Saccharomyces cerevisiae S288C: one gene and its partner. The protein of the gene in region 2 binds, or shares a complex with, the protein of the main gene of each other region. Each region holds a gene or a part of one and is shown on either strand. Other genes may lie near its edges. A codon is read from its position in the direction of its gene.

Evidence for each region. Proteins that work in one complex are often made in the same cells at the same time.
Region 1: the proteins of CTF19 (region 2) and CHL4 are in contact, whole or in part, in a cryo-EM structure (PDB 6QLE), measured with the Saccharomyces cerevisiae proteins. Residues at the interface, in NP_015307.1 of Saccharomyces cerevisiae: Arg124 (codon at 3,287), Val125 (codon at 3,284), Glu126 (codon at 3,281), Arg127 (codon at 3,278), Ile128 (codon at 3,275), Asn129 (codon at 3,272), Gly130 (codon at 3,269), Leu138 (codon at 3,245), Val139 (codon at 3,242), Thr140 (codon at 3,239), Lys141 (codon at 3,236), Tyr142 (codon at 3,233), Asp143 (codon at 3,230), Thr144 (codon at 3,227), Leu145 (codon at 3,224), Pro146 (codon at 3,221), Leu148 (codon at 3,215), Arg153 (codon at 3,200), Arg172 (codon at 3,143), Arg174 (codon at 3,137), Tyr205 (codon at 3,044), Phe207 (codon at 3,038), Ser210 (codon at 3,029), Thr211 (codon at 3,026), Leu212 (codon at 3,023); in NP_010540.3 of Saccharomyces cerevisiae: Pro269 (codon at 3,598), Trp270 (codon at 3,595), Cys272 (codon at 3,589), Tyr273 (codon at 3,586), Phe278 (codon at 3,571), Glu279 (codon at 3,568), Ser281 (codon at 3,562), Leu283 (codon at 3,556), His284 (codon at 3,553), Asp285 (codon at 3,550), Tyr286 (codon at 3,547), Gln290 (codon at 3,535), Gly291 (codon at 3,532), Leu292 (codon at 3,529), Thr293 (codon at 3,526), Gly294 (codon at 3,523), Lys295 (codon at 3,520), Lys296 (codon at 3,517), Val297 (codon at 3,514), Met298 (codon at 3,511), Val299 (codon at 3,508), Arg300 (codon at 3,505), Phe302 (codon at 3,499), Ile321 (codon at 3,442), Leu324 (codon at 3,433), Lys328 (codon at 3,421), Ile331 (codon at 3,412).

What each region holds. Positions count from the first base shown.
Region 1 is NC_001136.10:963,512-969,514, reverse strand, and holds CHL4 (Chl4p), read right to left. Parts: upstream 4,403-6,003; coding exon 3,026-4,402; downstream 1-3,025. Other genes in the region: CTA1 (catalase A), read left to right, coding at 1-1,382; ubiquitin-protein ligase RMD5, read left to right, coding at 1,693-2,958; MET32 (Met32p), read left to right, coding at 4,950-5,525; CCR4-NOT core subunit BTT1, read right to left, coding at 5,654-6,003. UniProt on the Saccharomyces cerevisiae protein: Component of the kinetochore, a multiprotein complex that assembles on centromeric DNA and attaches chromosomes to spindle microtubules, mediating chromosome segregation and sister chromatid segregation during meiosis and mitosis.
Region 2 is NC_001148.4:512,954-521,306, reverse strand, and holds CTF19 (Ctf19p), read right to left. Parts: upstream 3,657-8,353; coding exon 2,547-3,656; downstream 1-2,546. Other genes in the region: SWI1 (Swi1p), read right to left, coding at 1-293; IRC15 (Irc15p), read left to right, coding at 1,074-2,573; VTC3 (vacuolar transporter chaperone), read left to right, coding at 4,289-6,796; SUMO protease ULP1, read left to right, coding at 7,129-8,353. UniProt on the Saccharomyces cerevisiae protein: Component of the kinetochore, a multiprotein complex that assembles on centromeric DNA and attaches chromosomes to spindle microtubules, mediating chromosome segregation and sister chromatid segregation during meiosis and mitosis.

The DNA of each region.
Region 1 (6,003 bases), on a different chromosome or scaffold from region 2:
TGGCTCATTTCAACAGGGAAAATATTCCTCAAAGGAATCCACATGCTCATGGTTCTGGTGCCTTCGGCTATTTTGAAGTAACCGATGACATTACTGATATCTGCGGGTCTGCTATGTTTAGTAAAATTGGGAAAAGAACGAAATGTCTAACAAGATTTTCGACTGTGGGTGGTGATAAAGGTAGTGCCGACACGGTTCGTGATCCAAGGGGGTTTGCCACCAAATTCTACACTGAAGAAGGTAATTTAGATTGGGTCTACAATAATACACCGGTATTCTTTATCAGAGACCCTTCCAAGTTCCCTCACTTTATCCACACACAGAAGAGAAACCCACAAACCAACCTAAGGGATGCTGACATGTTTTGGGATTTCCTCACCACTCCTGAAAATCAGGTGGCCATTCATCAAGTAATGATCCTTTTTTCAGACCGTGGTACCCCTGCCAACTACCGTAGTATGCATGGTTATTCTGGTCATACCTATAAATGGTCCAATAAAAACGGAGATTGGCATTATGTGCAAGTTCATATCAAAACCGATCAAGGAATAAAGAATTTGACCATAGAAGAGGCTACCAAAATTGCGGGATCCAATCCAGATTACTGCCAGCAGGATTTATTTGAGGCTATTCAGAATGGAAACTATCCTTCCTGGACAGTTTATATTCAAACAATGACCGAACGCGATGCCAAAAAATTACCATTTTCAGTCTTTGATTTGACTAAAGTATGGCCTCAGGGGCAATTCCCTTTACGGCGTGTGGGTAAGATTGTTTTGAACGAGAATCCACTGAACTTCTTCGCACAGGTGGAACAAGCTGCCTTCGCCCCCAGTACCACGGTTCCTTACCAAGAAGCAAGCGCTGATCCAGTATTACAGGCCCGTTTGTTTTCATATGCGGATGCTCATAGATACAGGCTAGGTCCTAACTTCCATCAAATACCCGTAAACTGTCCATATGCATCTAAATTTTTCAATCCCGCTATCAGAGATGGACCGATGAATGTTAACGGCAACTTCGGCTCAGAACCTACATATTTGGCCAACGATAAATCGTACACGTATATCCAACAGGACAGACCCATTCAACAACACCAAGAGGTATGGAATGGGCCAGCTATCCCTTATCATTGGGCAACATCCCCAGGTGATGTAGATTTCGTGCAAGCAAGAAATCTCTACCGCGTTTTGGGTAAACAACCTGGACAGCAAAAGAACTTGGCATATAACATCGGCATTCATGTAGAAGGCGCCTGTCCTCAAATACAGCAGCGCGTTTATGATATGTTTGCTCGTGTTGATAAGGGACTATCTGAGGCAATTAAAAAAGTAGCTGAGGCAAAACATGCTTCTGAGCTTTCGAGTAACTCCAAATTTTGAAACGCTCAAGTAACAAATGAGTGGCGTTGTTTCCACGACAATTATTTATGATAGTGTGTATTTTTAACACATTTTATTTATTACAATTTATGTATTTTGTTATGAATTATTTATTTATACGACTAATAGGTGATGCTCATATTCTCGTGTTAGAAAGTTAAAAAAATTATCATTTCACACATAGGAAAGCTCGTCGCGCCGGGGAAAAAGCTGAGGAATCTCTATTATTAGGGGTAAAGTTCAACACATTCAGTATGAGATAAGTGTGTCTTCAAGAGAGATGCAGCACTGAGTAGGGAACCAAGAAACGATGTCTGAATTACTAGATAGCTTTGAGACAGAGTTTGCGAAATTTTATACCGACAGCAATCTGGAAGAGACAAACCTTCAAAAATGTCTTGATCATACTCATGAATTCAAGAGTCAATTAAAGAAGTTGAAAGCGCACTTAAACAAGCATATTCAGGAATCAAAACCAGAAGTCTATAATAAGCTGAGTGATAAGGAGAAACAAAAGTTTAAGAGAAAAAGAGAACTAATTATTGAGAAGCTAAGCAAGTCACAGAGGCAATGGGACCATTCAGTAAAGAAACAAATAAAGTACGTTTCTCAGCAGTCGAATCGCTTCAACAAAAGCACGCTGAACAAATTAAAAGAATTTGATATAGATAGCGTATATGTCAATAAATTACCGAAAGAGACAATGGAAAATGTTAATGAAGCCATCGGTTACCATATTTTGAGGTATAGTATAGACAACATGCCATTAGGAAATAAAAATGAGGCTTTCCAGTATCTAAAAGATGTCTACGGAATTACTAATAAAGAATCTACTGAATTTATTGAGATGGGCCAAATCGTACATGATCTTAAAAAGGGTGACACAGAAAGCTGTCTGAAATGGTGCTCCAATGAAATGGAAAGCTTATCATCTAACCATACGGCTTTATCGTCCCTAAAATTTGATTTATACACTTTGTCAGCAATGCAGATAGTGAAGCATGGAAATCCGGTAGAGTTGTACTACCAAATAACACAGAACGCACCCCTGGATTGCTTTAGACATAGGGAGAAGGAATTAATGCAAAACGTCGTACCATTATTAACTAAATCGCTAATAGGTCAACCTATTGAAGATATTGATTCTAAAGTAAATAAGGAATTAAAAGAATGCACGTCGTTATTTATAAAAGAATATTGTGCTGCAAAACATATTTTCTTTGACTCTCCCTTGTTTTTGATAGTATTGAGTGGTTTAATTTCTTTCCAATTTTTCATCAAATACAAAACCATCAGGGAGTTAGCGCACGTTGACTGGACTACGAAAGATGAGTTGCCATTTGATGTCAAGTTACCAGATTTTCTGACTCATTTCCATCCGATCTTCATCTGTCCCGTCTTAAAGGAGGAAACCACTACAGAAAATCCTCCTTATTCACTGGCATGCCATCACATCATTTCTAAAAAGGCGCTAGACAGATTATCGAAGAACGGAACAATTACTTTCAAGTGCCCATACTGCCCCGTAAATACTTCAATGAGCAGTACAAAAAAGGTTCGTTTTGTTATGCTTTGACTGAAATTTTTGCATAGGTTTTTTTTTTTTTTTTTTATTGGAAGCGATAACAGAACACAGTAGTTTTCTACAGTAAACCACCTTTAGCAACCTGCTCTCGCTGAAAATCTCCATTCATTATCGTTCCTGAGAACGATCCATTTTCTCCAGCCAACCACCCAGGAACTTTATCAATATTTATTAAATTTTTATCGCATAGTTCGTGTAATCCCCCAAAAATATCATTACCATTAAATTTCAATTTTATGGTAATTATTCTACTGTTTATTTCGTTTTTTAAAGTGAATCCAACTTTTTCAATAGGAACTAAGGAACTGTATCTAGAAATGTACACTGGCTCACCAGAATCTTCATTTTTCTTTCCATTCCTAATATTGTGGACATGTTCGTTAAATTCTTTCAAATCATTATATTTCTGATCCATTACGCCGTTTGCTGAACCTTTGAATTTGATCATGTTTTTCTCTAACCTTAGTCGTCTAATTTCAGGTTCTTCTTTTCCGTAAAAATTCTCATCGTCATTTAAGAAAGAATCATCAAATTCTCTAACCATTACCTTTTTACCAGTAAGGCCTTGGTGCTTTTTGTAGTCGTGTAGTGGTGACCGTTCAAAGTTAGCACTAGCATAACATTCCCATGGGCCCATAGACTCCGCAAATCTCGAAGGTCCTAATAAAGTCATTATATTATGTATTGATTTCACGGGTATTTTCTGTACCGGTTTGAAGATGATTGTTTCTCTTTCTGATATCGTTCGACTAATGCTCTGCAAAACTAGTCTAGCATAAATATCCTTGTCAACTGAATGGAAAATTATTGGAGAATTTAGCGGGAATGCAACGTAATATGGTCTCCTTGATATTAATGGTTTCCCTTGGAATTTGTCTAACTTGTTGTAAAGAGACTCTTTATTTATACTCCCTATATTAGGCGTACTCAAAAATAAATTATTGCTGTCAAATAGCTGTATTCTGGTAATTAACACTGGCAAAGAGGGATGTTTAAACATGTAAACATGACAATGGTAAATTTTCGCTAGATCTGTTTGTAAATTTTCTATAAATTTGGCAGGTTGGAGCTTTACTACGTAAGGTTTCCCATCTCCCCGTAAAGCTTTTGATGGAAGCCACTTAAATTTCTCTGGTTTACTTATCATTAAATGGCAATCTATTTCTGCTAATTGGAAAACATTCAGGCCATCCGGCCAGTATACGTATAATATCCTATTTACTATAACATTTCGCCTCACGCCTTTCTCAATCAGTAAGTCTAATGTTTCTGTCAATAAATATATGTCACCATCAAATGACCCACCGAATTTTGCGAACCATGATAGCGTAAGATCATATAATACCGTTACCGGCAGCTTCATCAATTGTTTGAAAACTACTAGTGTGTCGGAAGTTGGTACATAGTTATCTTCAAGCCGTAATTCGTTAGACATTAATTGCTACTCAAATATACTAGTCAAAGATAGTATCCACCAAAATCTTTCCCCGCTAAAATAACGCCAGATGCTTTCTATGCTTCTAATCTTTTACCATTTACCTTTGTTTATTTCAATATAAACTTTAATTTACAGTCCCTATCTATTGCCCGACTGGACTAACATGCACGTGACATTTTGTGATGGTTTTTCGTCCCTTACTTAGTACGCTTAGTACGCCACAGTTTATATTTTCTTGACAATAATAAAGAACCTGATTGTGGGTTAGAACTTGCTATACTTTTAGTTTAAAATAAGCAGGAAATAATCTTGAGTTCTGTATCATTATTATAAATAAAACTATATTTGTTCTCTTTGTCGCCCTCGGAACTTTCCTCATTACATTGACGAGGTATATATAGATATAGTAGATATACATATCTATCCATGGTATATATGTATGCATCTGGATAATTGAATAGGGTTTCATGTCATATGCCAAGAATTTGTTAATAATATAGTGGAAAAAAGTCAAGAGGTATTATAAATTTCAAAAAAGTACCAAATGGAGGATCAGGATGCTGCATTTATCAAACAGGCTACAGAAGCAATAGTGGATGTATCATTAAATATAGATAACATAGATCCTATAATAAAAGAGTTATTAGAAAGGGTAAGGAATAGGCAAAACAGGTTACAAAATAAAAAACCAGCACTCATACCGGCAGAAAATGGTGTTGATATAAATAGTCAAGGCGGTAACATAAAGGTTAAAAAGGAAAACGCATTACCAAAACCACCGAAGTCCAGCAAAAGCAAACCCCAAGATCGTAGAAATAGTACTGGTGAAAAAAGATTTAAATGTGCGAAATGTTCGTTGGAATTTTCAAGATCATCAGATTTGAGAAGGCACGAAAAGACACACTTCGCCATATTGCCTAACATTTGTCCTCAATGTGGCAAAGGTTTTGCAAGGAAAGATGCATTGAAAAGACATTATGATACACTGACATGTAGGAGAAACAGGACTAAATTACTAACTGCGGGTGGTGAGGGTATCAATGAATTACTGAAAAAAGTCAAGCAATCCAACATCGTTCATCGTCAAGATAACAACCACAATGGTAGCAGTAATGGCTGAAAGAGTAAATAGCGTGTATCTTCTCAAATAAGAAAATATATATTCATCTGCAACATTAATGTGATAGCATTTCCACTTCGACATTCGCCACTAGCTATAACGTTTACTGGCAATTATTATGAACTATGTCAGCTATTCATCACTTGTTGTTTTGTCTCGCTGCATCTGTCGCCCAGCTGGTCGAGCACCGTCTGTTCATTTTCTAGGTTATGAGCCAAACCTGTCAAATACTCAAGTTCTTGGCTACCTAATTGAGAGGCTACGCTCGGATACAGCCCATTAAGTGTATTCTCTTTCGGTTGGCCATGAATCATTGTGAGATTGCATTGAGGGGCAATCTGTACAACTGCACTGTTAAAATGTAAAACCTTGCCATTCTTTTTGAAAAAATTTGCTTCGGCAACGTTTTCAATGGTCATTGGATGCAGTTTATGAAGTTCAGCTTGTAACTTGGTATTATCCTTGTCATTGTTATTAT
Region 2 (8,353 bases):
TTGTTATTACTATTACTGTTGTTATTGTTGGAATCCAAATTCTGGTCAAAAGGTTTTGGGTCGAAAAAATTCTGAAAATCGTCTACACCACTGGCTCCGGTATTCGTATTGTTGTTATTAGTATTGTTATTAGTATTACTACTATGGCCTGTGCTATTGTTGTTATTGGTATTATTAGCAGGATTATTATTATTATTAGTATTATTATTATTAGTATTATTGTTATTGGTAGTAGTAGTAGTAGTAGTAGTATTATTATTATTATTATTATTATTCAAATTAAAGAAATCCATCTTTATTTATTACTATTTTTATTATTACTATTTTTATTATTATTATTATTATTATTATTATAAGACACGAAAAGAAAGAAAATAGAGATAGAAAAAGAAAATTTTAAGAATAATGAGTGTAATAGGAAAATAGCCGCCAGTCAGTGATTATTACCTGGTGAACAATAATCTGCAATCCGTGAGAGGAAACAACGCGAAATGCCAAAGCAGAGATGGTGTAATAAGGATAGAGCCACACAACAATACTTTCTAGAAAAATAAATAATAAAAAAATAAGGTAAACAAAGTGTAATCAGTTGCCTTGCCGTATAGTGTTTTGCGGTATAAATATTGTTATTCAATACGAATGATGAATACCGGAAGGTGGTTATGACTAAAACGCAATGTGAATATGATTACAACTGGCAACAACCACAACAGAAACAACAATAATGCATAGTGGTAATAATACGTAAAGTCAATCAGCGTTCAGTTTTAAAAAAAATCTTTTCTCGGTGCTTTGGGGAAGGAGGGGTGGCGTCGTTTCGTAATCGGAGATACCCAAAGTTCATATCACGATAAACGTCAGTTCCGGGTTAGAATAAATTTATGCGGTAGTTTCTGTGCGAACTTGAGTGCGGTGGCATTTTCCTCCGGCGAGGCCTGGGTGGAACACTCAGGCAGGGGGTACACCCAGACCTGCAGGCATGCATCTGCTGTTTCGGCGGCTATTTAACATGCGCACGATTTTACGAGAGGAGAAGAGAAGTATGATATAATTAACGGTGAGCATTTTTGGTAATGGGAGGTGAAGACGAAATATTAAGCACGATGGAGGATTTTGCGGCAGTTTACGATGTCCTGGTAATTGGTTGCGGGCCTGGTGGCTTTACTGCAGCGATGCAGGCTTCGCAAGCAGGCCTGCTCACAGCATGTGTTGACCAGCGTGCCTCGCTGGGGGGCGCCTACCTTGTAGACGGGGCAGTCCCGTCCAAGACCTTGTTATATGAGTCTTATCTTTATCGGCTGCTACAACAGCAAGAACTTATCGAGCAACGTGGCACGCGGCTGTTTCCTGCAAAATTCGATATGCAGGCGGCCCAGAGTGCACTCAAACATAATATAGAAGAGTTGGGCAATGTGTATAAACGTGAGCTATCTAAAAATAATGTTACTGTGTATAAAGGCACGGCTGCTTTCAAAGATCCTCACCACGTTGAGATTGCGCAGCGCGGCATGAAACCGTTCATCGTAGAGGCGAAATATATTGTTGTGGCGACCGGATCTGCGGTTATTCAGTGTCCTGGTGTTGCAATAGATAATGACAAGATAATTTCATCTGATAAGGCATTGTCACTGGATTATATACCTTCACGTTTTACTATCATGGGAGGAGGTACAATTGGACTAGAAATCGCATGCATATTCAATAATTTGGGCTCTCGGGTTACTATCGTTGAATCTCAAAGCGAGATCTGTCAAAATATGGACAATGAGTTGGCTTCTGCCACGAAGACCCTCTTGCAGTGTCAGGGTATAGCTTTTCTTTTAGACACTAGAGTGCAGCTCGCGGAAGCCGATGCTGCCGGTCAGCTGAACATCACCTTGCTTAACAAGGTGTCAAAGAAAACATATGTACATCATTGCGACGTCTTGATGGTTTCTATTGGTAGACGTCCCCTGCTAAAAGGTTTAGATATTTCCAGCATTGGTCTAGACGAACGGGATTTTGTAGAAAATGTTGACGTACAAACCCAAAGTCTGCTAAAGTACCCTCATATTAAACCCATAGGAGACGTTACATTGGGCCCCATGCTGGCGCTGAAAGCGGAAGAACAAGCTATAAGGGCCATTCAATCAATAGGCTGTACAGGCTCCGACGGAACCTCGAATTGTGGCTTCCCACCAAATGTGCTGTACTGTCAGCCTCAGATTGGCTGGGTCGGATACACTGAGGAGGGGTTGGCAAAGGCTCGCATCCCATATCAAAAAGGCAGGGTTTTGTTCTCACAGAACGTTAGATATAACACGTTATTACCACGGGAAGAGAATACTACAGTTTCTCCTTTCATTAAAGTTCTGATAGATTCTCGTGACATGAAAATACTAGGCGTTCATATGATAAACGACGATGCAAATGAATTGCTGTCGCAAGCATCGATGGCGGTGTCGCTTGGCCTTACCGCCCATGATGTCTGTAAAGTACCGTTCCCTCATCCGAGCTTATCGGAATCGTTTAAGCAAGCCGTCCAGTTGGCAATGGCAAATGGAACATCACCTGGCGTACATGTCCGGGAATAGGCAAACGTTGCAGATCTCCTTTAACCCGGTTTTCACACCATATTCCTTGATAAGTCCGTAGCATATCTCGTCCAAATCTATCTGGTTAAATCTTTCTCCCCCCTTCCATAGCGCTATTGAAATTTTACTCATGGGCAGAAAACAGTTACGAGGTTTGCCTCTCTCACCGGGCATTGTAATGATGAAATTTATCTGCAATTTTATCGTCGTGAGTCTTCCTTCTCTAATAACTCTTTCCACAATTAATGAGTCACTATTATTCATTAGATAACACCTGGTTTTCCTTTTCAATAAATTAATCAAATTTTGGAAAATTCCAGTTTTTTTGGACTTGATCTTATCAAACTCATAAAGGCTTAATAGACACTTCTGGAAGTTACGTGTTGCCAGTAATTGCTTGGCCTTCAGTCTAACGTTTGTGGAAATTCGCAAGATTTCCCACTTCAGCAGTGTGGAATCTTCAAATTTATAGAACATTTTGAACTGAATTTCAAAAGGATTCATCGTGTTTCTGCAGAATTTATAATTGACCACCAAAACTTCAATCCCATCGTTATGTACTCTGTCTCTTGATTGCACAGAAACTTGAAGATGCGGGTATGTGTGGTCTCTCAAATAACTTAGCCGTAGATTCATATTTAACAAAGGTAACGTGTCGTATTTTGTTACTAGTTCCTTCTGCAAGTTAGTTAGCCCATTGATCCTCTCGACCCGCTTGCGGTCACTTATCGCCGAATTAGGATTAGAGGATGAGATCGAGATTAGATTAAGAAAATCCTGTGTGATATCGTTTTGGAGGATATCACCATTTTTAGTCTTACTGTTATTTTCCTTCATCAAGATATTTTGGTACGTCTGGATCTCTTGTAAAAGAGTATTTCTCCTTGTCAACAGCGCATCCTTCTCCTCCTGTAGCTTCAGTGCGCGTACCTGATCATCATCTAATAGCGATAGTTGTTGCTTCTCGTCCCCATCAATGTTTACATCTGCTTCACCAGCATGATGTGTACCCACAGCGTCTTCCAGACTTAAATGCGAATTCGATGTGTCGTGCGAATTCGTCGTATCAGACGTAAAATCCATATTTGCGTTCTTTGCCGACCTAGTATCAACAAGATCACACTAGCTCCAAGGTATATAGCTGTTTATATAAGTCTAAATTACGCGTTTCTGATTTTTCGGCGGACTCCAACTATTAGATAGTCACCATTACCGGTTACATTACCGGCCACATAGTAGAACGCCAGAGTATATATGCCGTGACCTTCACGGTTTGGATGTTAATGAGTAACTTGCACAGCTATTGGTATTTGGACTTCTTGGCACATTTTTCCCTGTACAGCTTTTCTTTTTTTCAATGTGCGAGGGCCCACGTGGCTTAATACAACACAGTGCAGTCGCAAGCACGTGCATGCGATTTTGAAAGCACAAGGCAGAAACGTGGAAACATACACACACGCACACACCCAACTTTCGAGTGGGTTTCATCCAGGAAGAACTTTTAAATAGAGGCCAGAGAGCGGCTTACATCAGACATCTTTTCTCGAACTTACTTCATCTTCTCAATATCGAGAGGGCCCATTGGCGGGTAATAATACGCATAAGAGTGATCTAATCCAAGTAGTACCTCCTTAGCGCTTTTTTTATTATCACTATAGGTCATTTGGCTATTAGAGCGAACAGCAGAATTTGTCCTTGGTTTTCAGAGTTTGAAAATGCTATTTGGTATTAAACTGGCTAACGACGTATATCCTCCCTGGAAGGATTCATATATCGACTATGAAAGGTTGAAGAAATTACTAAAGGAAAGCGTCATACATGATGGCCGTAGTTCCGTGGATAGTTGGTCCGAAAGGAATGAATCTGATTTTGTGGAGGCCTTGGATAAAGAACTAGAAAAGGTTTACACATTTCAAATTTCCAAATATAATGCTGTCTTGCGAAAATTAGATGATTTAGAGGAAAACACTAAATCAGCTGAAAAAATCCAAAAAATAAATTCTGAGCAGTTCAAAAACACCTTAGAAGAATGTCTAGATGAGGCTCAAAGATTGGATAACTTTGACAGGTTAAATTTTACTGGGTTTATCAAGATTGTGAAGAAACACGATAAATTACATCCAAACTATCCTTCTGTAAAGTCTCTTTTACAAGTCAGATTGAAAGAACTTCCTTTCAACAATTCAGAAGAGTATTCTCCCTTGTTGTATAGGATCTCATATCTGTACGAGTTCTTGAGATCAAATTATGATCATCCAAATACGGTGTCTAAATCATTAGCAAGTACTTCTAAATTATCACATTTTTCTAACCTTGAAGACGCAAGTTTTAAAAGCTACAAGTTTTGGGTTCATGATGATAATATAATGGAGGTTAAGGCTAGAATCTTAAGGCATCTACCTGCTTTGGTTTATGCGTCGGTTCCAAATGAAAATGACGATTTCGTCGATAATCTAGAATCAGATGTCCGCGTACAACCTGAAGCGCGCTTGAATATTGGTTCAAAGAGTAACAGCCTTTCTAGTGATGGTAATAGCAACCAAGATGTTGAAATTGGAAAATCAAAGAGCGTTATTTTCCCACAGTCATATGATCCAACAATCACTACATTATATTTCGACAACGATTTTTTTGATTTGTACAATAACAGATTGTTGAAAATCAGCGGTGCACCTACGCTGAGATTAAGATGGATCGGTAAACTGCTAGACAAACCTGACATATTTTTGGAAAAGAGAACTTTTACAGAAAATACCGAAACTGGTAATTCAAGTTTTGAAGAAATCAGATTGCAAATGAAAGCCAAATTCATCAACAATTTTATTTTTAAAAATGATCCCAGTTACAAAAACTATTTAATTAATCAACTAAGAGAAAGGGGTACTCAAAAGGAGGAACTGGAAAAACTTTCTAGAGACTTTGATAACATCCAAAACTTTATTGTTGAGGAGAAGTTGCAGCCAGTTTTGAGAGCTACCTATAATAGAACTGCTTTCCAAATTCCTGGAGATCAAAGTATTAGAGTCACTATCGATTCCAATATCATGTACATTAGAGAGGATTCTTTGGACAAAAATAGGCCCATTAGGAACCCTGAGAATTGGCACCGTGACGATATTGATTCCAATATTCCCAACCCATTGAGGTTTTTAAGAGCAGGAGAATATTCGAAGTTCCCCTATTCTGTAATGGAGATTAAGGTTATAAACCAAGATAATTCTCAAATGCCTAATTATGAGTGGATTAAAGATTTAACTAATTCACATTTAGTTAACGAAGTTCCAAAATTTTCTTTGTACTTGCAAGGTGTGGCTTCACTGTTTGGTGAAGACGATAAATATGTCAACATTTTGCCATTCTGGTTGCCCGATTTAGAAACCGACATCAGAAAGAACCCTCAGGAGGCTTACGAAGAAGAGAAGAAAACTTTACAAAAACAAAAGAGCATTCATGATAAACTTGATAATATGAGAAGGTTATCCAAAATCTCTGTACCAGATGGAAAGACCACTGAAAGACAAGGGCAAAAAGATCAGAATACTCGCCACGTTATTGCAGATTTAGAAGATCACGAATCATCAGATGAAGAAGGTACTGCATTGCCCAAGAAATCTGCAGTCAAAAAAGGGAAGAAATTCAAAACGAATGCAGCTTTCTTGAAAATTCTTGCTGGAAAAAATATTTCAGAAAATGGAAATGATCCATACTCCGACGATACAGACAGTGCCTCTTCTTTCCAATTACCTCCGGGAGTTAAAAAACCAGTTCACCTTTTGAAAAATGCCGGTCCTGTCAAAGTTGAGGCAAAAGTTTGGCTCGCCAATGAACGTACATTCAATAGATGGTTAAGTGTAACCACATTGCTGAGTGTATTGACCTTTTCTATCTATAATTCAGTGCAAAAAGCCGAATTTCCACAACTAGCTGATCTGTTGGCCTATGTATATTTCTTTTTGACTTTGTTTTGCGGAGTATGGGCTTATAGAACCTACTTAAAAAGATTAACTCTTATTAAAGGTAGAAGTGGTAAGCATTTGGATGCACCTGTGGGACCTATTTTGGTTGCAGTTGTATTAATCGTTACCTTGGTTGTTAACTTTAGTGTGGCTTTTAAAGAGGCCGCTAGGAGGGAAAGAGGATTAGTAAACGTTTCCTCCCAGCCTTCGTTACCCCGTACACTAAAACCAATTCAAGATTTTATCTTCAATTTGGTTGGGGAATAAGAACATGTATATTTTTTATATACACATATATTACACAAGTACCAGTTACTATCATAATTAATTAATTGTTCTCTATTTATACATATTTGCTCTTCCGTATTAAATCATATTAAACAGCTTTCAGCAGGTGCCGGCGCCGCCTCTTTTTATTTTCAAAATTCAAAATGCACATAATGAGAAGATGTGTGTGATAGTTAAACCCAGATCAAAAAATAGCTGAAACGTTCGTTTCAGCTCCGCAAATCTATATTGCTAATTAAAATTATTCATCAATATCTACTTCTGTTTCAGTTTTTTTCCTCTTCTTCCTCTGACCTTTGGATATCATAATAATGTCAGTTGAAGTAGATAAGCACCGGAACACACTACAGTATCATAAAAAGAACCCTTACTCCCCTTTATTCTCCCCAATTTCTACATATAGGTGTTATCCTCGGGTATTGAACAATCCCTCCGAGTCTAGAAGATCAGCCAGTTTTAGTGGTATTTATAAAAAAAGAACCAATACGTCAAGATTCAATTATTTAAACGACCGCCGTGTTTTATCAATGGAAGAATCAATGAAAGATGGGTCAGATAGAGCTAGTAAAGCTGGTTTTATAGGAGGCATAAGAGAAACTCTTTGGAACTCAGGTAAGTACTTATGGCACACATTTGTGAAAAACGAACCTCGCAATTTTGATGGTTCTGAAGTAGAAGCAAGTGGTAACAGCGACGTTGAGAGCAGAAGTTCTGGAAGTAGGAGCAGTGACGTACCATATGGTCTACGTGAAAATTATTCCTCGGATACAAGAAAACACAAATTCGATACGTCGACGTGGGCCTTACCAAATAAAAGGAGAAGAATCGAAAGTGAAGGTGTGGGGACACCTTCAACCTCACCAATCAGCTCTTTGGCTTCTCAAAAAAGCAATTGTGATAGTGACAATAGCATAACTTTTTCGAGAGATCCTTTTGGTTGGAATAAGTGGAAAACAAGTGCTATTGGTTCTAACTCAGAAAATAACACTTCTGATCAGAAAAATAGCTACGACAGGCGACAGTATGGGACAGCCTTTATTAGAAAGAAAAAAGTTGCAAAACAGAACATTAACAATACTAAACTGGTGTCGAGAGCACAATCTGAGGAAGTAACATATTTACGACAAATATTCAACGGAGAATATAAAGTTCCAAAAATATTAAAAGAAGAAAGAGAAAGACAGTTAAAATTAATGGATATGGATAAGGAAAAAGACACTGGCTTAAAAAAGTCTATAATCGACTTAACTGAAAAGATCAAAACAATTTTAATTGAGAACAACAAGAACAGACTACAGACAAGAAATGAAAATGATGATGATTTAGTATTTGTTAAAGAAAAAAAGATATCTTCTTTGGAAAGGAAACATAAGGATTACTTAAATCAAAAGTTGAAGTTTGATAGATCTATATTAGAGTTTGAGAAAGACTTCAAAAGATATAACGAAATTTTAAATGAAAGAAAGAAGATTCAAGAAGATCTTAAAAAAAAGAAAGAACAATTGGCCAAGAAGAAACTTGTTCCTGAATTAAATG